3 linked regions of the Arabidopsis thaliana genome follow. The protein of the gene in region 1 interacts with the protein of each later gene in a pairwise test. Each region holds a gene or a part of one and is shown in the gene's direction. Other genes may lie near its edges.

Evidence for each region. The genes of interacting proteins can lie anywhere in the genome.
Region 2: the proteins of B70 (region 1) and LBD38 interact in a two-hybrid assay, tested with the Arabidopsis thaliana proteins (one large-scale study listed by BioGRID).
Region 3: the proteins of B70 (region 1) and AT4G01460 interact in a two-hybrid assay, tested with the Arabidopsis thaliana proteins (one large-scale study listed by BioGRID).

Annotation. Positions count from the first base shown.
Region 1 is NC_003075.7:11,349,022-11,357,194, forward strand, and holds B70 (basic helix-loop-helix (bHLH) DNA-binding superfamily protein), read left to right. Parts: upstream 1-3,936; 5' UTR 3,937-4,042; coding exon 4,043-4,293; intron 4,294-4,388; coding exon 4,389-4,608; intron 4,609-4,696; coding exon 4,697-4,795; intron 4,796-4,930; coding exon 4,931-4,996; intron 4,997-5,131; coding exon 5,132-5,197; intron 5,198-5,294; coding exon 5,295-5,351; intron 5,352-5,460; coding exon 5,461-5,607; 3' UTR 5,608-5,803; downstream 5,804-8,173. Other genes in the region: DYT1 (basic helix-loop-helix (bHLH) DNA-binding superfamily protein), read left to right, coding at 901-1,080, 1,155-1,352, 1,428-1,673; PUB8 (plant U-box 8), read right to left, coding at 7,122-8,173.
Region 2 is NC_003074.8:18,511,180-18,519,020, forward strand, and holds LBD38 (LOB domain-containing protein 38), read left to right. Parts: upstream 1-3,086; 5' UTR 3,087-3,285; coding exon 3,286-3,469; intron 3,470-3,563; coding exon 3,564-4,123; 3' UTR 4,124-4,952; downstream 4,953-7,841.
Region 3 is NC_003075.7:617,594-625,888, forward strand, and holds AT4G01460 (basic helix-loop-helix (bHLH) DNA-binding superfamily protein), read left to right. Parts: upstream 1-3,097; 5' UTR 3,098-3,384; exon of another isoform or gene 3,385-3,734; 5' UTR 3,735-3,740; coding exon 3,741-4,178; intron 4,179-4,279; coding exon 4,280-4,678; intron 4,679-4,993; coding exon 4,994-5,104; 3' UTR 5,105-5,406; downstream 5,407-8,295. Other genes in the region: TIP1;3 (tonoplast intrinsic protein 1;3), read right to left, coding at 7,499-8,257.

The DNA of each region.
Region 1 (8,173 bases):
CACTTTCTTCTCCTCACCAGAAAACCACCATTCGTTAATTTAATCTTACCAGAGTTTCTTCTCTTGTTATTATAGCATGGAAGACTGATCCATCCGGGGAACCAATCTTTGCGGAGGGAGAACCACGGAAACTGGCTGATCCATTTGACTACGGTGCAGGACTCGTGAACGCGGAAAGAGCCAAAGATCCAGGACTAGTTTATGACATGAACATCGACGATTACATTCACTATTTCTGCGCCACTGGTTACAACGATACATCAATCACTATAATCACGGGAAAACCCACAAAATGCTCGTCTCCATTACCGTCTATCCTCGATCTTAACTATCCCGCCATCACGATTCCCGACCTTGAAGAAGAAGTGACCGTCACAAGAACGGTGACTAACGTTGGACCTGTGGACTCAGTTTACAGAGCCGTGGTCGAGCCTCCGCGAGGTGTGGAGATTGTTGTTGAACCAGAGACTCTAGTGTTCTGTTCGAACACGAAGAAACTTGGGTTTAAAGTTAGGGTTTCGTCGAGTCATAAGAGTAACACTGGTTTTTTCTTTGGTAGTTTCACTTGGACTGATGGGACTCGAAATGTTACCATTCCTTTGTCTGTAAGGATTCGTGTTTTGAACCCTTGAATAAGAAGATTCCTCAATTCGTCATAAATTGTTTTTTCTCTCTATAATGAAAACAAAAATTGTTATTTTAGTCTCTGTATTTGACTCTAACTGAAATCACATTCACTTAATAACAAACTGAGACTAAGATTCTCTCTTTTATTCTCTCTCCACTAACAGACTTCTATCTACATGAGAAGCAACTATATAACTCATGTCTTTTACCACCATTACATAAATAAGAATATAAACACTTTTGTCTGAAAAATTATCAAAGAAGAAGAAATAAATGGGTGGAGGAAGCAGATTTCAAGAACCAGTGAGGATGAGCCGTAGGAAACAAGTAACAAAAGAGAAGGAAGAAGATGAAAACTTCAAATCTCCAAATCTTGAAGCAGAGAGACGTAGAAGAGAGAAGCTTCATTGTCGGCTTATGGCTCTGCGATCTCATGTCCCCATTGTCACCAACGTAAGTCCCAAATCTCGATTATTATTTTATGGGTATTTTGGTGATGATTGTTGTTGTTTTTGTTTCGTTTTCAGATGACTAAAGCAAGTATTGTTGAAGATGCGATTACTTACATAGGAGAGCTTCAAAACAATGTTAAGAATCTCTTAGAGACATTTCATGAAATGGAAGAAGCTCCTCCTGAGATTGATGAAGAACAAACGGATCCAATGATAAAACCTGAAGTTGAAACTAGTGATCTTAACGAAGAGATGAAGAAACTCGGAATCGAGGTTTTTAAAATTTCTCTAATCGATTTTTGATTCATTTTCTTTATCTTTCTTGATGATTTTTTATTTTTGGGACAGGAGAATGTGCAATTGTGTAAGATTGGGGAGAGGAAGTTTTGGTTAAAGATCATAACAGAGAAGAGAGATGGGATCTTTACTAAATTCATGGAGGTTATGAGATTTCTCGGATTCGAGATTATCGATATTAGTCTAACAACTTCAAATGGAGCAATTCTTATTAGTGCCTCTGTTCAGACACAGGAACTCTGTGATGTTGAACAGACAAAAGATTTTCTTTTGGAAGTTATGAGAAGCAATCCATAAGTATTAATTATATACATCTTGGAAATTTCTTGATCTAATAACATTTCCATTGGTTTTTATTACATTGTTGTTCCATTTTAAATATGATATGATTCAGATGAAAAAGAGTTTGTGTTACAAGCCAATGAGCTTCTTCTTGTCTTCATATATGTTGCTGCAAAATGTTCATGATCCTCTGTTTGAGGTCAAAGAAAGAAAACACTAGATATTATCTCTAGGATCCGAGCAATGGGGGTTTCTTTTTAAAATGGGCTTAGAATGAATTAGCTCTTAAATGGGCCATTCTCAAGTTGAGCCCATTTAATTTCAACCATCCAAATGGTGAGTAGTGAATAGTGATGTTCATTTGTGTAAGGTTGGAAGTTGGTAGAAACCTAAGTTTTTTTATTCAAATATCAAAACTATTCAATAGAGCCAAAATCAAAAGACATTTTCCTAACCTATTAACTATTTTTTTATAAAAATAATAATATACCTTTATCATCTCTGACTTTCCCTACTCCACGACATATTTGATTAACAATATAAAATAATTTATAGTTTCCACTCTCAATGAAATAAAACGATGGACCGTTTCCTCATGTCAAATGAATCAAATCAACAATCTCTATATAGTCTTAAGAATGTTGGTCTTAAAATTCTATTGAACTCAAATCGTATGAAAACAAGTTAAATTGTATATAAACAGAAAAACCAGTGAAGGTTGATTAATTAATAATTTACTTGGTTAAATTCTTCTTATTGAAGTTGGTGTACTGTAACCTAAGTCACTCGAAGTCTACAAATATTTAATATATCTATTGACTAAAAATATTAAAATAATTTGCTGAGTCAAACCATATGACATGAGCACATATTTTGGGAATCTTTCTAAATTTAAAGATCAAACCTAAAATAACCCAAATGGATTGGAGGGGACGGTCTGACTTAATCCATTTATACATTTATACAGTTGTTTGTTAGTGATTATATCCGAATATCAACAATTCATTTTAATAAATTTCAGAAAGTAAAAATATATATTTTAATCATGTCCATTACAAAACAAAAATTATAATTAAAGAAAGTCTTCATTCTTTGGTGAATGCATATATGGTATACGTCTTATTAACTACTTCTTTTCAAATAGTTGTATTAATTTATATTTTCTGTTCAATTAGGGAAAAAAAACTTATTTCGATAACTCTCTTTTTGTTGTCATATCCATATATAAAGCACAATGAAACTCAATTAAGTGTAATCCTAATTCCTATAAGTTATGATATCATTTGGAGAGGCTTGAAGCAAAACCAATAAGCTATTTTCTCCAAAGAGCAAGATTGATCTAAATCCATATATTTCAAAAAAAATTTGTTTACAATGTAAATCCATATTTGTTTGAAGTTTTTACATTTTTTTTTAAAGAGTCGACACGTAGGTCAGATATGCGCACGTAACTGTGTACAAACAAAAGACGTCCGGAGTCGTATAGATCAAAACGAGGCCAGCCAACAACTACCCTTTTGCGATGGATTTGGTAACGCTGACTTTCTTTTCCTTGTACGTATTCATCGACCATCCCAAAAATGAGATTATTTTTTGGACGACAAACATATTCTTTCTATATTGACATATATAACTGTGACGTCATTTTTGTTTTTAATTATTTGAATCAGTAAACCCCCAAAACAGTAGTTAATAAATATGCATTGCTATACAAATATACAATTTGCAAGTAAAATAAATACCATATCCGTACGATGACTTAATTAAAAATATATTCACATTATTTGTTTAACTAAAATTTTATTACTTTTTTCCCCTTGACAAGTTAATACTTCAACTGCGTTCAACACATAAAAATAAATAAATAAATATATATACTTCAACATATATCAAACATTTTAGTATTACCATCCCATATCAAAGAGTAAGAAAAGTAGTAATTATGATGATAGTAAGAAATTAACTCTGTTTTACAATGTTTGAGAAGATAGGGTCACAACTCACAAACTCACATGTACATCAAAGTTTTTATTTGATTAACCAAAATCAAAACTAAACTTTACATTGTACGTACGTTGGTAAAAAAAATTTGTCATCTTTTAATTACTTAATTTGCTTGACCTAACTTCCTATCGACTACTCTGATAAACATACATTATCTAAATAATTAATAGATTAATTAGGGAAGTACCAATAACATATAAAACTCTTGTACAAAACTTTTTTTTAACAAATATTATAACTTTGTTAGTTGACTTAAACCTCATCGCTACATATAAATACAATCCCCATCATCAACATCATTACTGTCTCATGCAAACTCTGACACTTACGAAGAAATAAGTCTACACAAACTAAACCATTGTCTACGTAACCAACAAAACATGACAGAAGAATTCGACACTACGGGAGTTTGTACCGGAACATGGTGGAGCTCCTCCAACGGCATGTTCTCAGGCTGTTCTCTGCCACGTTCCGCGGAGATTGTTGTCGATTTTGGTGAGATTGAATGGCAAAACATTGATACCCTTGATGCCAAAACTTACAACGAGAACTACCTTAGTACTTCCACATTCTTAGGCAATGCAAATCTTGATACCACATCACAAATCTACGTTTCGAGTCCATCTAACATGTAAGTCCATTTATCATCTTACGTGACGTATAACGTAAAATCATGATCTTTGTTCCTGAATCCTGACATTCTTTTTCTTTTCTCTTTTTTACCAGCCATGAAGAAGAACGATACAATCAGATAAATAGTTTTCTAGAAGGATTGTTTGATTCTAGTGAGCAATTATTGGTTCCTAACTGTCCCAAACCAGAACTATTCGAAAGCTTTCACTTCTTTGATGACGTTTTCCCGAACGAATCAAGAATGATATCAGTATTTGATCACCAAAAACCCAAGGAAGACATGCAAGCTTGCAAGAGTCTGACTACATGCAAGGTGGGCAAATCTATTTAATTAGTTTCTTTTAATAGAGATATTTTACAATATTTCTGTAGATTTTGACATTGTGACCAATTATTTTTAGAGAGCAAGTGAGAAAAGTGGAGAACTCGAAGATATTGAGTCATCACAGCCATTAAAAAGGCCAAGACTTGAGACACCATCTCATTTTCCGAGCTTCAAAGTTAGTAACAAATGATCTTACTACAGTTTTCAAGGATTGTCATTTATCACTAAAAAAAGTTAGTTATGCTAAGAAACACATACCCATGCACAAACTATTGCTGATATTTTTCCAAAAACTATTTTGATTGATAAGGTTCGTAAAGAGAAACTCGGAGATCGAATTACCGCGCTTCAACAGTTAGTTTCACCCTTTGGCAAGGTTTGTGTTCATCATGAATTCATGATCTGTTATATTGATATCTCTACTATATATTATCCATACATAATTACGAAATTTTTTTAGCTACTTCTGTTTTCAAATTTATTTATTATTATTTTGTGATGATTTTTACAGACAGACACTGCTTCTGTCCTCCATGATGCTATAGATTACATCAAGTTTCTACAAGAACAAATCACTGTAAGTTGATAATCTCTCAAATATGAAATACTACTACTAATTAATTGTTGGTTTTAGTTAACTGTTATATTTATTCTTTTTATAATCATTTAAATAGGAAAAGGTCTCTACTAGTCCACACCTGAACTCTATAGGATCTGGTGAACAGAAGCAGGTACTTAACTTAGTTAACGGTTAAACAACTCTATAATCTAAAATCAATTAAGTAGTTTGATTTTTGTTCTTTTGCTTATGATCATTAATAAGATTCTTTCAATTTCTAGTGGTCAGACAAATCAAGCAATAATACTCATAATCAAAATTGTAGTCCAAGACAAGATCTTCGAAGCCGCGGTCTTTGTCTGATGCCGATCTCAAGTACTTTCTCCACTCCTCCGCAGCATTTGGACACATCTAGTTTGTGGAATTAGACTCTTATACTGAATCAAAAATGTAACATTAGTACATTACACATGAAAACTCATAGATTAGTTTTGTTCTAAGAACTGTAAAGTCTGGTGTTAATTTGTGTATAAAATGTGATGTCTCGTTCCATTACTTCCTACAAATTTAGAGCCTACTTCGTGGAATGGCCGAAAGATTAGATAATTTGTGTTTCTTTTTTTGCTGTTTTATCAATCAATACTATTTTATTGAGTATGTTCACTTTTTCTGTTATTTTTTTATTTTTTGGTAAACCACTTATTCTGTCATATTAAAGACAAAAAATTTTTAAAAAAATTGGTCTTAATTTAATGATTTATTCTCACAATATCGTGATTCCACTACACATTATTTAATTTCCACACTCTGTAATAATACCAGTCACAGTCAGAATCTTATAAAGGTATATAGAATATTGTGGATTTTTAAAAAGGATTAGGAAGACAAATTAGATGATTTTTTGTCAACTATAAATTAGGTAATTAATATCTCCATTAAGGAGATCTTTAATTAGAAAAACAATCACTTTAATAAAGCAGCTCTTTTCATAGTACTCAAAGGCTACACACGACTCTGTCTTGTTTTGTTTGTGTGTCCTCAAATCAAGGCATATGATTGAATAAGAAACATAAAGCAGTGATATTTCAGCACTGTTTTCTATAAAAAAAAGAGCACGAGTGTTAAAAAAAAAACAAATAACCCATCTTTTTGTGAAGGAACATTAAATCATTGTGGAGAGAATTCAACAGAGACCATGTGCTTTTGGTACGAGCACGCCACAACTGAATTGAAAACAAAAACCTAAATCGAGTAGACATGGAATCATAAAGTACAGTTACTGGTTTGTCCCAGTGACTATTGTAGTAAAAAAGACAGGTTTGTCTTATGGAATCATCACATTTCTTTGGAGAATAAAGCAAAAGAAAGATCCGGAATATTATTTTCTTCTAGCCATGAATGCTTCAACCAAATTGATCAATCAAAATTCTCAAATTATTTCTGAATGTGATTCAACTAGCAAACAGTATAAATAAAATGCTATTACTAATGGCTTTTCATGTAAAAGCATGGGAGAAAATGTTAGGCTTGACGATTTGAGATGATTTCGCGGACAAGAACACTTGTAACAAAGGGTTAAGATTCAACAGAGAAGGGATTAATTAAATGCTTTGGAAATGTAAAGATTACAATTCTCTTGATGATGAACATTTTGAAACACTTGAAGAAAACTATTATGTATGATCCTTTTATTACTATAATGTACAGAGAAAACAAAAAAAAAGCATTTGCATTTTGCTTTGTTGAAAACGTAAGTCTTTGTTTTGTTCTTCCTTTCTTTTGTACATGAACACTACAAGTCGAAAATCCAACACAGAGATCACCCACACTTACCTCCATATCCAGACCAGATAAACAAAACCACAACAACTATCAACACCAAAACCGCCACCGAAGACAAAGCCCCGATCCTTTCAACATCCATTTCCTCACACTCCCAAAATCATGAACTCATTGGAATCCCAAGTAAAGTATGAACTAAGATAGTAGCATTCCTTCTGATTTTCTCACTCTCATTATCCTCAAAACCAAAGCATATCTCTACAACACCTTCTCTCTTAACCTCATCAACTATCTCTCCGCTACAACAACACAAGCAATTGAGGATAAACAGAGAATACTGAATCCCTTTCAAATTCCCATTCCTCAAAACGTTAACCAAAACCTCAACAAAACCACTTACTTTACTCATCTCTTCTCTTCCTCCTCTACACTTAACCAAAAGTCCCAACACTTCCACTGCTCTCTCTAACCCTGAATCAGCAGCTTCAACCAAAATAGGCACCGACCCACAATCCACAACCCGTTTCCGATTATCGGGAAACGAGCAAAGAGCGTAAAGAGCCGTAGCTGATTCCTTTCTCTCCCTATCATTCCCTACCCGGAGAAGAGAAACAAGAGCAGAGATTGCATCAGGATATGATCCAATAGTAGCTTTATTCACTTCAACAACAGCTAAACTCGTTAACAGAGTAGCAGCAATCGCTTTACAATCCGGTGACCCGACTCGTAAAACAGTAACAATCCGTCTTATCACTCCATCAGCGACTAAACCAACTTTGTTATCATCTTCTAAACTAAGATTCAAAAGCAAAGACAGAGACTTTTCTTGTAAAACCTGATTACAAGAGTCAACACAATCCAGAGCCGCACGAACTGCTCCTGACTCAGTAACTTTCCTCCTGATTGACGAGTCTCGCTTCGTGAGTCGGACGAGTCGAGTCAAAGACTCGAGCTTTGATGCATTAGACGACGATTGAGAGACGAGAGTGGAGATTAAAGCTTGGGATTGAGAGTGAGAGTGTTCTTGTTGAGTTCGAGGACGTGATGATTCCTTAAGACTCACATGGGCGAAGTTTAAAATTAAGCTACGAAGTGCGTGATTGGGAATCAGATAAGGGGTTTCTGATAAGGGTAGCTTGGTGATTGGACAAGTTCGATTGCCGGAGTCAATCCATTGTTGGATAGAGACCCGATCGAAAGTATGACCCGATT
Region 2 (7,841 bases), on another chromosome or scaffold:
ATTACTTGATTAATTTTTCATTTACTATTTCCGCAAGCAAAGGAACCACTTCTTTGAATCTGTCACTCCCAGCTTGAAGTGATCTGTTCCTAAGAATTTAACTATTTGATTAAACATTTCAGATTTCTATTTAAAAACATAATTTGATAGGAGAAATAGTATTAATTTTGGGTTATGTTAGTATTAATTATTGAAGTAGTGATAGATCGGTTAGTAGTACCTAACGAAGCTAATCCTTAAGTGGCTTGTCGACTTTGATTGGTTGGCACTCACACTTCCCTCCACGCTTAAATTATTTTTATAATTCTGTATTATTTCGTTTTCACGAGTTTTACGAGTCTTTTAATAATTAATTAATTGTATAATTTGTTACGATAAATATCTTACACGTCTTAATCGATCCCAGTTCTTATGTATCTTCTAAGAAAAAGAGTAGTTATACATTCCGAGAAAAATATGGATATTGGGTATTTTCTGAATTAAATGCCGGGAAAATATTGTTTTTTTGGTGGCACAAAAAATTGACTTATAATTATTCTTTATAACTATATTGTAGTATCTGATGGTTAAGAATTTTTGGAATTATTTTAAGATTTGTTTTTTTCTTGTCAACCGATTTTTATTTAGAGTTCAGAAAACTCATCCCTTAAAAATGTTGTTTATATATGTGATATTATGCGGTTCGGTATAAACTTTTCGTCAAATTAAGATTTGGCTTTGAAAAGACAAAAGCAAAAATTTTAAATCTAAAATGGTGTGGGAAAAAATAATAATAATACCTTGCTAAATAAGACGGAAAATATGTCGTGCAGCTTACTGCTTATACTTACATCTTACATTACCTATTAGGCTATAACCTAATGCTTGTGTTATAAGTCTGTAAGATTTGGTCATTCATTCTCTTTGTACTATTGTCTTCTTATATTGCTAGAAACTTAGAAACTAAAGAATTTCACCAATTTTTGTGGGCATAGTATATAGCTTATTAGCTTGTAATAAGGCCTAATAAGGCCCTCGAGCGTTACAATAACATCCAAATTAGTTTTGGCATGGTACCGTTAAAGTGGTGTTAAACTATTAATTTACCAAAGACTCATTGTTTGGACTTTGGACCATACGAAAAATGCAGTAGAGCCCATAGTGACATAGTGTACCGGCTCTTATAGCTGAGAAATTATATCCCAATTAACAGCCCAGTATTTAATCATTTAGAACTCAACGTGAAAGAGGACATGTTAAAGCCCAACACAAGTCCATAGACTCATGAAATACAAGTCCACAAACCCACCTTATCTAACCATGTAATTAGGTTTTATAGCATAATATAATGAACATCAATGAATGTAAGTAGGAATGCAATTTGTGCAACCTCTATTTGACAATTTCTTTCATTTCTTCTCAATAGTTTACAAGTCTCATACATTGTTTTTGTTCTGTTTTCAAAGAAATAGTTTTGGTTTTTCTATTGTATGCAATATGACTTCCCACTGTACATCATAAACATTGAAGTATATATAATATTTTTTCTATTGTGTTCTGCCGTACGTCTAACTTATAATCTATTTTATAACATTGATTTTACTAAATATATAAAGGTAAAATCTATCTTGTTGCATTCACTTCAGAAAATAAATTTTTGGAAGAAGGGCCACAAAACAATACTAATTTTCAAAAATTGAGATTGAAATTATGTTATAAGATTGATATTTAAAATAGGAATACCGTTGTAAAAATAAGTAGTTGATTTATCGAACATCTAAGCATCTGTTTAACACCAATTTTATGTCGTTGTTGATCAAAACTGTCGCGTTCAAGTGTCTTGTGTCGACTAATTAAGCAAATGAACTTTAGGTACCAGAAGTTCAACGAAACAATAATGCATTTTTAAATTACTAATGGACTGAAGTAATTGGGAATAAAGAAATATAAAGAGACGGCGGCATTCAGTGGAAAATTTGCCTAATTGGAGTGTAGGTAAGCACACCACGTAAGCCATGAACGGCGCCGTTTCACCGCATTGCTATAGGAAAGTAGAAGAAGACACTTTGACTTATTAATATCATTTTGTTGTAGATCTTCTGTTCATCATATATTTGATTTTGTTACTAGCTAATGTAAAGGAGAAAAGAAATGTTTGATTTGGTCACACACGTGAGACAGCATCGTAGGCAAAAAAACGCCTCTATCTTTCTTCTAAAACATTTTTCATATTAAATTATCAAAACCCTTAAGGTTGATTTAAGGGTCAGGTAGTGGATTTGTTTCGTTGAAGGGTCAGCTTAGCCTTAACCCTAAACAAAACAATCTCATTGGTTTCATAAATAAATTGTTTACAAAGTATACGTACTGCATGAACGAATGAACCATATCTATATTTATAAAACTCATAGAGACCAATAGTTTAAGAGAGGCACTTATATAGCTCAACAAATAATAGCGAACTAGAGAGAATATGATCTAATTAGTTATAAATCTCAATTTTGAAATTGAAGTGCGTTATTTCATTTGAGAATCTATGTGTTTTTTTTGTTGTTGTTAGATGAGAAGCTAGGTTTTTTTCTTTTCTTTACACCGATAATCGATAATATATGTTAATCACACTGATTTTTGTTTGAGACATGAAGATTCGAAAAATTTGTCAACGAATAAACACTGGATAGATAGAATTGAGATCTGCCATCAAATAATCGAGATCGTTCATGCATGACGCAAACATTTATATAGAAATGAAGCAAGTAAAGAATATGAAAAAGAATAGAAATGAGAAATTTATAAAGAAAGAAAAAAAGAACCAATGGTTGAGGAGGCAACTATTCGCGGGGACACGGAGCCGTTCGCACCCATCACCTTGGAATCTCTCTTTCTTCCTCTCTCCTCATCACCAACTAGTCAACAACCACACACCATTTTTAACTTTCATAATTAAACCTAACATAACATTTTTTTTTGTATAAACTATAGCATAAATTAAATTCAGTTAATGATAAAATAAATATATTTTGTAGCAATCATTCTATTTTGTAATTTGGTAGGGCTCTTTAAACTTTGATTATTATCCAATTTTTATTAAAATATAATAAAATCTCAAAGCCATGACCCATTCCTTCACTCAAGTATCAATGTCTATTGTCTATAAATATTACATAACTCTTCTTCTTCAACCAAACATTGAAACACTTTGTCCCACTCTCTCTCTTTCTCTTTCTTGTACCAAAAGCTTTTTGAATCTCCAAGATTATAGCAAAACCAAAGATAAAATACTAACTTAAAAGATTTCTGAAAATAATGAGTTGCAATGGTTGTCGAGTTCTACGAAAAGGTTGCAGTGAGAATTGCATCCTCCGTCCATGTATTCAATGGATCGAATCACCTGAAGCTCAAGGCCACGCCACCGTCTTCGTCGCTAAGTTCTTCGGCCGTGCCGGTTTAATGTCTTTCATCTCCGCCGTACCGGAATCTCAATGCCCTGGTACTTAAAAACAAAAACCTCTCGGTCCTTTAGATCTTCGTCTAAACGTTGTCGTTTTGGTTTCTGATGGTAAGGGTATTTGGTCTTTTTACAGCTTTGTTTCAGTCTTTGCTATACGAAGCTTGTGGGAGAACTGTGAATCCGGTGAACGGAGCCGTCGGATTGTTGTGGACGGGGAATTGGAATGTTTGTCAAGCGGCGGTTGAGACGGTGCTTCGTGGTGGTTCTTTAAAACCAATACCGGAGCTTCTTAACGGCGGTGGATTCGCCGGGTTTCCGTCTCCTACTTCCGACGAAGCTTCGGAGATCTGTACGGAAATGTTGAATCTACGAAAAGCTGATGATTCCGGTGATCGGAACATTTATCATCACTGCCGATTCTCAAGCTCTAGATCTAGATCAAGATCAACAGCTTCTCCGCCGAAACGGAAACGATTATCGTCGGAACAACAACCTTCGTCGGAGCTTGATCTCTCTCTTATTCCTATTTATCCGATTAAAACCTTGCCGTTTAAGGAAGATACACCGTCGATGTACTCGGAGGAGTCTGTTACCACGGTTTCGTTTCAAAACAACAACGCCGGTGATCGGTACGTACGCTGCGGCGGAGGAGGAGGAGGAGCAACGACAAAGTTGCTCAATCTCTTCGCTTGAACGGCGTCGTTTTTGTTATGAGGGTTAAAAATGTAATTTCGAGTAACTTTTTGTTGTGGCCTTTTTTGGATTAATAGCCCTTAATATTTTGTGAAATGTAGCAAATTACGTGATTTATTTCTCTCTTTAATTATGAGAAATTATCCAAAGTAATAGAGAATAATGATATAATTCGTCGGTGGTGTACTATTTTATTTTTAGTTCATAATCAATTAATCATCATTCTCATCGAATTCAAATTAAAAGATAACAATGATAATGTGTACGATAAATCAATACTTATTAGCTACTAAATTATTTGTTTTTATCGACATATTCAACATTAATAATAATAATCACGAATCGGAGTCAAAATATACATCTCTCCAAATCCAAAGCACCGGCAAAGTCTTCGCACCCAACATATTTCGATTCTTTAAGGACCAACATGTTGTAATGTACACACAATCATACACAACTTGCTATTTTGATAATCATCTTGATTACTACTCGCAAAACAAAATATTAGCATTTATTATCTCCAGGTTTATTGTCTTTCGATACTACATTTGTTATTCAATGGTTTAATGATACCTAGTAATAGTATAACACAATAGTACGTATTCCTCGAGATGTGATGATCTTTTTGTGATATCTCAAATTATCCTATACTAGTACTGCAACGGTCTTCTTCGCAACACTCTCAATGGCATATGTACATCTTCATGTGTTTCTTTCTATGTTTAAGATTAGTCTACCACACATTCTCCGGATGAATACAAACTCTAAAAAAGATTAAACAAGGTGCATTACATAATATAAGTAATTGTATGTATAGAGTAGATATGCATTATATAATGCATGTAGTTGGGTTGAACCCAAAAAGTTGGGGTTATAAAGGGAAAGCTTTTGGGGGAGGCGGCTTTTGGACGACGCAAAGAGCCGTTTATGTCACACTTCATACCTTCGTGGAATCTTCAAAAGCACTCTTTTTTTATTGTTCTTCTATTCTTCTTCACATTTTGTTTAATAAAAACAACAAGGTATTGTTGCTCTATGGATGATGGCGTAGAAACAATGAAATTGACCAATAACATGTTTGCTTTTGAAACGTTGAAATGAGAATGGATTGTTGTTGGAACAGAAGAAGTGATTTGAAGATCTTATGAAGTGGGACATATTTTAAATATACTTTCGACCAGCCAGTCACTAGTGGGCAAACAATTGCTTGTGGTCCACGTCACTCTCCTTTCCTTTTCCGACCACCGGACTCTTTATGTTATTTTTGAAAAATATAAGTTTTTAGTTCTGACCATTTCAAGTTTTATCAACAACCGGGTATCATCATTCGTTCAATCTCGTCTGTTTTTTACATCTAATTAGTGTCTAATCATGAGTTACAAAATTTATGGAGCTAAATTTCTTTTTCTACTTTTAAACTATGGAGCTAACTATACTAGACGAATTCGCTTTTTAAAAATTTGGGGAATACAATATAACAATATGGATGGATAAACATGAATCCATCAAGTATAATGAGAATAAAATAACATTAGCAAGATTCGTGTTTAATGCCAAAAGCCACGAGCAGCCGCAGTTTCTTATGGGCCCAATACTTTCATCACCTTCTCCACTTAAGTCGGTGTGTGTGAGTCCACTTGATGTTTTCTTAAACTTTTCTTCCGAAAACGAACAAAACTTTAGTTAATTATTTGTCTTTGGTATGAATGTCAAGAAAATGGTAGTTAAATTAGTAAGGAATAACTAAACTTAAATAATCAAGTTGAAAATTAAAACCCTAGGTCTCACATGATTATGAAACATTTACTACTTTGTGTATTCCAAAAAACATGGTGATCAATAAAAAAATTTGAAGGTGAAAACAAAACGACGTGGATTATCAAATGATCACAAGAAAACTAGTCAATCTAAATAGAATATCAAATAACGACAAAAAAATAGAATATCAAATAATTAATTAAGACCATCAAAATCAAGTTGGTATTCATAATGATTCTGGATAAAATACAGAATTAAGTAAGTGATTTTTTTTGGATATATATATATATATATATATGATTTTTTTTTGGTGTGTTAATTCATAATGATTCTGGATAAAATACAGAATTAAGTAAGTGATTTGTTTTTGGATATATATATATATATATATGATTTTTTTTTTGGTGTGTTATATATATATGAATGATAATAGTAAAGTAATATTTTCTCATTATTTCAATTTTTATTTTTGCAAAAGTTATATATACATGATTATCTGACTCTCAAATAAAACAAAAACTAGGGTTAGCTGAATATTAGCTACCAAATAACATTTTATCAACCGGTAAACACACATTAGACCATAACATCTTGATATGTAACCGTACATAGTTCTTGATGAATTTTTTCGTACATTACTATACAAAGTGATATATTAATTTTCTGAAACTCAAAAAACGTTATGCTTAAAGCTGCATATATTGTAACCAAAGACTTTTTAATAAATTTTACATTACAATGATTCAAAAAAAGAAAAAAAAGTGATATATTAATTTCTACAACACATATTTGGAAATTTTTGTAACTGAATGTCATCATGTCCCGATTATCCCCAGAGATTTTGTATATGAACCTCTTTAAAAAACAATCTCAATTGTTTGTTTCTTGCTTTTAGTTTTCTCAAGTCTTTTGCTATTCAAGAGTTTATCGAATAAGTTTCTTGTGGATCAATATCACTATCTAATTTCTAACGATTGATTTTGTTATTAATATAGATGATCATAAGACTTAGCTTGGTCTACATTTTTTGTGGTTCTTAGGGTTTTGTGTGATCATTCTTCGAGTAAGGTGAGGACCCAAGAGCCATCTTGCCCCTTCAAATCTTTTGTTGGCCGTACATTCATTTACACTTAATTAGGATATTCTTTTCTTAAAGCAAAAATAGAGTTTAACAAATAAAATATAAAAATAAGATAACTCTAGTCTTTGATCTTTATCGACTCTTCTAATGTCGGATTGATTCAAGTTTTATAGTATGATTATTAATGAGAACGTCACTAAGATAATCAAGTGCTAATCATAATCCTTTGCGAAGGCTGTTTTTTGTAAATTTAAACGAGACTTTGGAGGAGCTAGAAAGGATCAGTGTTGAAGATTTGGGAGAGATCGCGACAAGGACGTGAAATGGATGCGACACGTGACTTTCACGTGACTGGTTCCCTCATCGCTGGAACACATAATCCACTCTTTCACCTATTGGGTCCTACAATAGCTTCTTATCTTTGACTAAATCATTTTTCATGTTGTAATAAGTAACTAGAAGATGTGCATATACGATACGAATTAGAGAATACATACGTCCTGATAAAAATAGAATATATATATATATATATACCGACAAATTAATCATTTTGTATTCTTGGAAAAATTATTTCTTCTGCTCACCTAACATTATTAACCACTCAATAACCGTTAATATAGTTTGTCAATTCTCATTGAGCTGAATAACTAGTTAAATACATAGTCTCTAAATGTGTATAGTGTAAATTGGACCAATCAGGAAAATGAGATCTAATTATTCATTCCTTTTCCATAGGGTCCTTATTTCTTCGTCTTTTTTTTTTTTTTTTAATAATCCTTTATCAAATGTACATGATTGTAAACTGTAATATTTTCTATATATTAAAAAATATATAAAATATCTTTAAAAAATGATTTCAAGATTCCTTAATATATTATA
Region 3 (8,295 bases), about 11 Mb from region 1:
AACTGTGAAGGGGACGGGGAATCAAGCATTTGACCTCATCGACAAATCGACATAAGGATTTGAGTTTTCACCTTTTGTTGTTCCAACTTCTTTTCGTTTTAGTTGTCCAAAACGGCCTAGTTTCATAATATGTTAGATAAAATACATGGTGTTATATGGTCAAATATTGTGGAAGACTAGCTACAGTAGAAACTCTATAAATTAATACTCGATAAATTAATAAACACGATAAATTAATAAATTTTACCGGTCCCAAGTCGGGCCAATGTAAAAAGTAACCAAAATCGATAAGATAATAAGATAATATTTTTTTTGAAATCCCTATATAAAATTATAGTCCCAATAATATTATAAATTAATAATCATAGATCTTAAGTATATATTTTAAGACTAATTAATTTTTATATGAAATTTTTGTTCAAAGTACAATTACAACTCTTTTTAAAATATAACTGGTATGATCTCTGTTGTACTCACATAACTATTTGCGTATTTGATCTGTCATAGTTGATTTTGTAAAATCTTTTATTTGAAAAAGCATTGCTAAGATTTGTGTAAATAAAAATTGGATTAAACTTCATGTTTACGTTTACGTTCACGTTAATGTCGTGGATATACAAACACAATATATTTTGAAAAATAAATTTAAAAAGTCAAAGAAAAATAAAAAACTAACATAATTATATATACAAACAACAAAGCATATAGAAAATTAATTAAAAACATTTTAAAAAGAATATAGTATTGTATTTTACATAAATATTTTTATAAATTAATATTTATTAACTTATACGATAAATTAATAAATATTAATTTATAGGATAAATTAATATCACTATAAATTAATAAAATTTCATGGTCCCAACATTATTAATTTATAGAGTTTCTACTGTATATGGTTGAGTGACTTATATGATAATCTTGCAATTTTTTTAATGTGGAGAGTAGATTTACAAAAATATTAGATTTTAAAATTTGTTTTGCAATTTTCTCTTTACTAATCTTAGGTCCAACCAAACCATTTCAAGTCATTTTCTTGTTATCTGTAATACATTATATATCTAAAAACTTCAAAATTAATTTGATTAGTTTGCTTAACTAACAGAAAATATTGAATGATACATTTATTACAGATGAAATAATGAATTTTTATTTGTGGCCAATTGCATAATGGATGTGAGATTGTATAGACATATTTAACTTGTCAACTCTACATGCCTTCTGGAAACAAGTCAAATCGAATAAAGTAAACTGAGAGACAATTCATGGAATTGATCTAAACACAAGTGGGTAAACCCATTACCATTTTCCTCGCTCGTCTAAATTCCTATATGTTCTCATTTACTAGTATCGTATCTTCTTTTTTTTTTCTTAAACAAACTAGTACCGTATCTTCGGTTATATGGATGGTACATAGAACTATAAATTGTAAAATCATATTCTACATACTTACTTTGACGATAAATAAGTGCTATTTCGGGTCTAATGTTACACGTAGGGAACTACCTAAGAAAATGTGGTTCGCGTGTCTAATGCAAACTGATTTCCATTCGAACCTATAATGGCTGAAGAAATAGCTATCCACATATGATATGTTGATAATGATATATATTATAGATATTCTTGTGTTTAGCTAAGTAATATATAAAAATTTACTCCACTTTTTTCTCAATTGGTATGTGACATGCTCTTATTGGGTGGATAATGTACTAGACAAAACTTGTAATTTTTTTTTTCTTTATCTATAATAATATAAAAACATTTTGTGTGTTATATTTTCATACATCTATTTTCCTTTCTTCATAATTCGTTTGGCCTATTTTTCAAATGTAGTCTATTCAATTTTATTAGGTTGCATGTGAGTTTTGGACTCACTTATGCATGGTACAAAATCCAAGTTCTTAAAAGACTTTGAGGTAGAATAAAAATCTGTAGTTTGGGAGAAGGAAACAAAAATAAAAAGGTAAATTTCTTTTGGGGGAGAGTACTGTTGTTTGCCCTACAGACCAAGGCACTGAAATCGAGTTGGTATTATTAGGATACTTAACGTTTGGCACCCATGGCCTTGGCCTTGGCCATGTGCATTGTTCGTCCTCTTCTTAAAGGGTACTATTGTCATTCTTAATTTTTATAGCACTAAGTCAACACACCATATTGGGAAATACTTAAAGACCCATAATGTACTTGTTCTAGCTCGATTAAAAGAGAAAAAACAAAGTAAATGAAAAGTTGAAGTAAAAGACATGAAAACCCTTTTTGGATTGGAGAAAACTAATTCTCTAAAGATAGAAAAGAAAAAGAGGAAGAAGCAAGAGAGGCTTGGTCTTCTTTTCTGATCCTGAAACTGTCTTAATAAGAGTGAGAAGTACTGTTCATGGAAGACGTGTCCCCACCAAACAAAACTGTCTTCACTGCCCTCTTCAATAATACTTTTACGGGACCCCTCCTAGTCCCAACGCACAATCTCATTGTGTCTATACAGAGTTATATTATATATATACACTTAATTTCTAATAGTTGTAGCAAAACATATGGTAAGAAAATGAAATAAATACGGTTAATATATTATTATTTTTTGGTCAAAACGGTTAATATATATGTAACACCAATGAAGCCAACATATCCAAACACAGAAGAAGATTTTTGGATGATGATTTAAACATGTATATATGTTAGTGTGAATCTTCAAAGTTTCTGTTTAAGTAGAATTATTTTTATAGATAAAGTATTTTATATGTTTTTTGGTCGAGCCAAATATCGAATTCCTTCATCAAAGTCTATCGAATTCCTTATATTTACCAAAGTAAAATTCGTTAAGAACAAAAATCAAAGAGTATTGTCCCGAAAGAAAATTATTTTGAAGGCCCAAAGAGGACAAGGTCATAAATATTTGATCTGGAGGACAGGACACCCACGTATATTTTTGTCCAAAATTTAGGTTAAAAAAAGAAGAAGAAAGGTTATCTGTTTCACGGATTAAATATTTAATTAATAATACATACATATATTACTGTATGTGTGCGTGTAAAATACTAAATATCGACGACTATATATATAACTAGATAATTTAGCTATAGTATAGTATTTTTATTTTTCACCCTTGGTTTTTTTATACATATATGCACCGAACCTCTTCTTCTTCTCTTCCTCGTCTTCTCTCCTTTTATATATGTGGAAAACTGCATTTATTAAGAACAGTTTAGAAAGTGTCAACCCCTAAAGGAATGTTTTTAGTTTAGAGGAAAGAGAGAGAAGAAGAAGCAGCAGCAGAAGTTGTTAATTTGAAGACTATTTGAGGAAAGACACCTATATCTAAATACTCAAAGTTACAAAAATATTACTTCAGAAAACAGTTCCATTAGAGAGACTCATAAAGCTTCTCATGTAAGCCTCTCTTGTAATTTATTCTCATATACAGAATACTGTTTTGTGCATTTACTCTTCTTCTTCCTCCTCCTTTCATATGATTAACATTCAATGCAAAATTCTTGTAAATTCATTTTACAATAGCTTATCCAAATTCTGCTACTTTTATTATTGTTTCCTCTCGCTGCGACATTCTTTATTTCTCATCATTTAATGTTCTCTCCTCGTACATCCTCTTTGTTCTGTCTTAAGAATTCACCTACCAAACCATTTATTTCTCATACCCACTTTAAGATTTAGTAGATTTTTGTTTTCTTGTCAAAATGGTATCCTAAAACTAATCTCTCTTGTTTTTTTCTTTGTTGAAGCTAATTATGAGTGGATTGATGAGTTTTGGTGAATTAGAAGACCAATTTGGTCAGATTTCAGACACTACTATGGAAGAGAAGATACCATTTCTGCAAATGCTTCAATGCATAGAACACCCTTTTACAACAACAGAACCAAATCAGTTTCTCCAATCACTTCTCCAGATCCAAACCCTAGAATCAAAGAGCTGTCTCACCCTTGAAACAAACATCAAAAGAGATCCGGGTCAAACAGATGACCCGGAAAAGGATCCAAGAACAGAAAACGGAGCAGTAACGGTCAAAGAAAAAAGAAAACGGAAACGTACAAGAGCTCCAAAGAACAAAGACGAAGTTGAAAACCAAAGGATGACTCACATTGCCGTCGAACGTAATCGAAGACGACAAATGAACGAACACTTAAACTCTCTCCGATCTCTCATGCCTCCTTCGTTTCTTCAACGGGTAACAAAATGTTTTAAGGGTTCATTAAACAAGAACGTAATTTTTTTTTCTTTTCAAGAACGTAATTTAGCTTTAACAAGAAAACGTTTTTGTTTCTCTAGGGTGACCAAGCTTCGATTGTAGGAGGGGCAATAGATTTCATCAAGGAACTAGAGCAACTCTTGCAATCTCTAGAAGCTGAGAAACGAAAGGATGGAACTGATGAAACTCCTAAAACGGCGTCGTGTTCTTCATCTTCGTCTCTTGCATGCACTAACTCTTCTATTTCTAGCGTGTCTACGACGTCGGAAAATGGATTTACGGCGAGATTCGGCGGTGGAGATACGACAGAAGTGGAGGCTACGGTGATACAGAACCATGTGAGCTTAAAAGTTCGGTGTAAGAGAGGAAAACGACAGATCTTAAAAGCTATTGTCTCGATTGAAGAACTAAAGCTTGCGATTCTACATCTCACTATCTCTTCTTCCTTTGACTTTGTCATCTACTCTTTCAATCTCAAGGTAATTTTCTTAATCATCTCTTAAACTATCAGTTTCAATTTCCACTAGTTTAAGCATTATTATAAATAGTCTTATGTAACTAGCAATTTTTGACTTTTTGAGGAAAATTAAGGAATCTTCATTTTGAAATGTTTGGTACTTAAGAAAATTAAAATGCATGAGAAACCATAATAGAAAATATCTACAATTATGTGTGTGTGTGTGTATTTTTTTCCTTCACTCTAAGCTTAGAAAATTTTAGTTTAATTTTTTAGTAAGTTGCTAATTTTTGTTTAGTTTTGGAGAGATGAGAAATGAATGGTGTTGTGCATGCAGATGGAAGATGGTTGTAAATTAGGATCAGCAGATGAGATAGCGACAGCCGTTCATCAGATCTTCGAGCAAATCAACGGTGAAGTCATGTGGTCAAATCTTAGTCGAACTTAGTTGACTTTTGACTCCTAGTAACGTGTGTAAACTTTAGGTTACAAAGAAAAGGGACGTGATATAAATAAGAAAAACCAAAGAGGTGAAATTTTGGGAGTTTTAATTATTATCTTATACTTTTTGGATTTTAGATTAGTAGCAAACTCGCAGTGTTCTACGATGACATTATTATTGGTCACATGAAGGTTTAGGTTATTATTGCCTGTAATTTTTGAATATAAACTAACCTATGAGTTCAGTTTGACCCCGAAAACGAAAAAAGTTAACCATGAGTAATATTTACTTCCATTTATAAATGTTTCCCACTTAGTAATAATGTTAAGAAATTGACTTTAGACGTCCGTATTAGAATGGTTACGGAAATGGAAACAAATACAATTAAAGATGAAACATCATTATTACTAAGAAGAAGTCGCCTTCACACTTCGCAACCTCTTTTTATATTTTGCATATACGTTTTATTAATACTCTCATATCGTCCATGCGTCTGACAAATCTACGCTTGATAAAAAAGGTACAGCTACAACATAAATTTAAAGGTATTCTTTTGCATCAACGTCTACTGACTAAAAATACTTGTTTATTGTATAATGACTCTAGTTTTACTTTTAACAACGAAGAGAAAGGTGGCAGAATTTTTTTAATATTCCAATGGTAAAAAAGCATCGTAAAAGGAAGCCTATGGTCAGAGTCTCATTGACACATCGGTCTCGCTTGTAATACGTAAAACTCAGCCTATCTCACTCACATTACTTTTTTCGAAATTTTAATTCATATATCGGTTTCCGCATATATTTAACTTTTGTATTCAAAGCTTATTAAAAAATCGGGAAAAATCTAAACATCATAAGCAAAACAAATCCGATCAATATGTTTAAATTCTGTAATACAAGAACAATATAAACAAAAACATATTATTCAGAAAGCAATGATACATTATTTGAATATTGTGTGTAAGAGTGAACGACAAGATCATACGTCAGAGATAATCGACTGGTAACAACTCTGATCTTTTCCAACTTTTGGTCAAAGTCAAACCATTTGGTCATTTTTACAGTAAATTATTGAGTAATATGTCATTTACTCATTTCTTTTGAGGAAAACTCTTTTTTTATCAGAAAACAAAAACAAATTACTCATTTTCGTTTTGGGCTCAAGACAAAAGTCCTTCTTTTAAAAATATTAGCCCAGTTAATCTATACAGGCCCATTAAAGCCCATACTAAAAGAGCCGAGCGTTCCACCGCGTGAGATTGACGTGCGTGTATTTACGCGTTAATGTTTCGCGTGGTATTTGTTTATTTGAATAAAGATTCCTTAGCTTTATTCTTAGTAGGTCCTCATGAGTCATATTCGTGAAATTGAGGTTTTTGAACGAACTCGGGGCTTTGATTCGAAGTCGAAAGTTTTGATTTTATATTGTGATTTCTAAGTCGAAGGATGTGTTACTTTGGTGTTTTTTTTATTTGATTTTTTAAAAAGAATATTTGATAGTTGTAAAGAGTTTTTGTATATGTTTAATTTTTAAATAGAGAAATGGTCAACGTAGCACAATTAACTTGTAATAGAGAATTGCTCAACGTAGCACAATTAGTGTAGATCTTTAAAATTAAATCATCGAGCGAATTTTAGAATTCTCCCAAATAGTTGTTATCTGCAAATGTCATGTTATTTACAATTCTTGATACATAAAATAGTTAGTTTTCCATGTGGTAAAAACAATAAAACATACGACCAATCGACCATTGACATAACTCTTCTAAATCCACGATGAGTTATATATATAAACTTATAATACTAATCACAATTATTGTTATTGAGGAATATACATCGTGAGTATCATCAAATCTCGTCATCGCACTTTGCTTGAACGTGCAAGAAACTTGGAAACGCGTTTAGAGCAAACACCGGGACACCGAAGTACCGTTTATTGAATTCCTTTTTTTGTGTGTGTTGTTCAATACTTAAATCGACTAAAAAATCATTAGCCTAAGATTCACATATCAGAACGTGCTTGGGCCAAAAATAAAATAAAGAACGTGCATGGACCAACCAACCATATATATATCTTCATAGTATTATTGATAATGGCGGGTCCCATTATGTTTGATATATTTTCAGTTTTCACCATGGAAGCATAATCTCAAGAATATGCCTCCAATAAAATTCGTTTGTACATGAATTCCTTAAGTATGGCAGAATACTACGTATACCCCACATAATAGTTTAATCTAATTTAAATTAGTGTAAATTTTCCACCAATCAATTTATTAATTACTTAAAACAACAAAAGTAGTGAAAAACAATTAAAAACACATATCTCCCTCAAAATACCCATAGTAGGCTACAACTGTAGATTTCTTGTTTCACAAGACACAAGAAAAAAAAACCTAACTTAGAAATCATTAGAAGGAAGTGGTTCATGTCCATTACTACCGATAAAGATAGTATCATAAACAATAGCTGCAATGGCTGCACCGATAAAAGGACCAACCCAATAGACCCAATGATTCGTCCAAATCCAGCTAACCACGGCCGGACCAAATGAAACCGCGGGGTTCATCGATGCACCGTCGAAAGCACCACCAACCAGAATGTTAGCTCCAACGATTAACCCAATCGCCAAAGGCGCAATGATTCCAATATCACCTTTCTTGGGATCCACGGCAGTAGCGTAAACCGTGTAAACTAACCCAAACGTCATCACAATCTCGAAAACGACTGCGTTCCAGGGCGTCACTCCATATGATAGCGAAAACGCAGCCGTTTCCATCCCGCCAGTGCTTACCTTGAGCAACAAGCAAGCTACGACTGCTCCGAGTAATTGAGCGATCCAATAAAGAATAGCTCTCAACAACGTTATGTTTCCACCAATAAAAGCCCCAAATGTAACCGCCGGGTTCACATGACCACCTGAAACGTTAGCTCCAACGGAAACCGCAACGAACAACGCAAACGCATGAGACAAAGACGCGGCCACAAGACCGGCAGGTGTGGCTGGACCATCTCCAGTTAGTTTTCCATAAGCCATTCCAGAGCCTTGACCCGCGAAAACGAATATAACCATCGAGAAAAACTCCGCGAAAGCTGCTCTAATCGCATCGGGACGACTAGCTTCCCCCGGCGTTCCAATCGCAATTCTGTTGATAGGCATCGTTACAAAAAAATTTGCTTTCTTGCTTCCTCTTCATT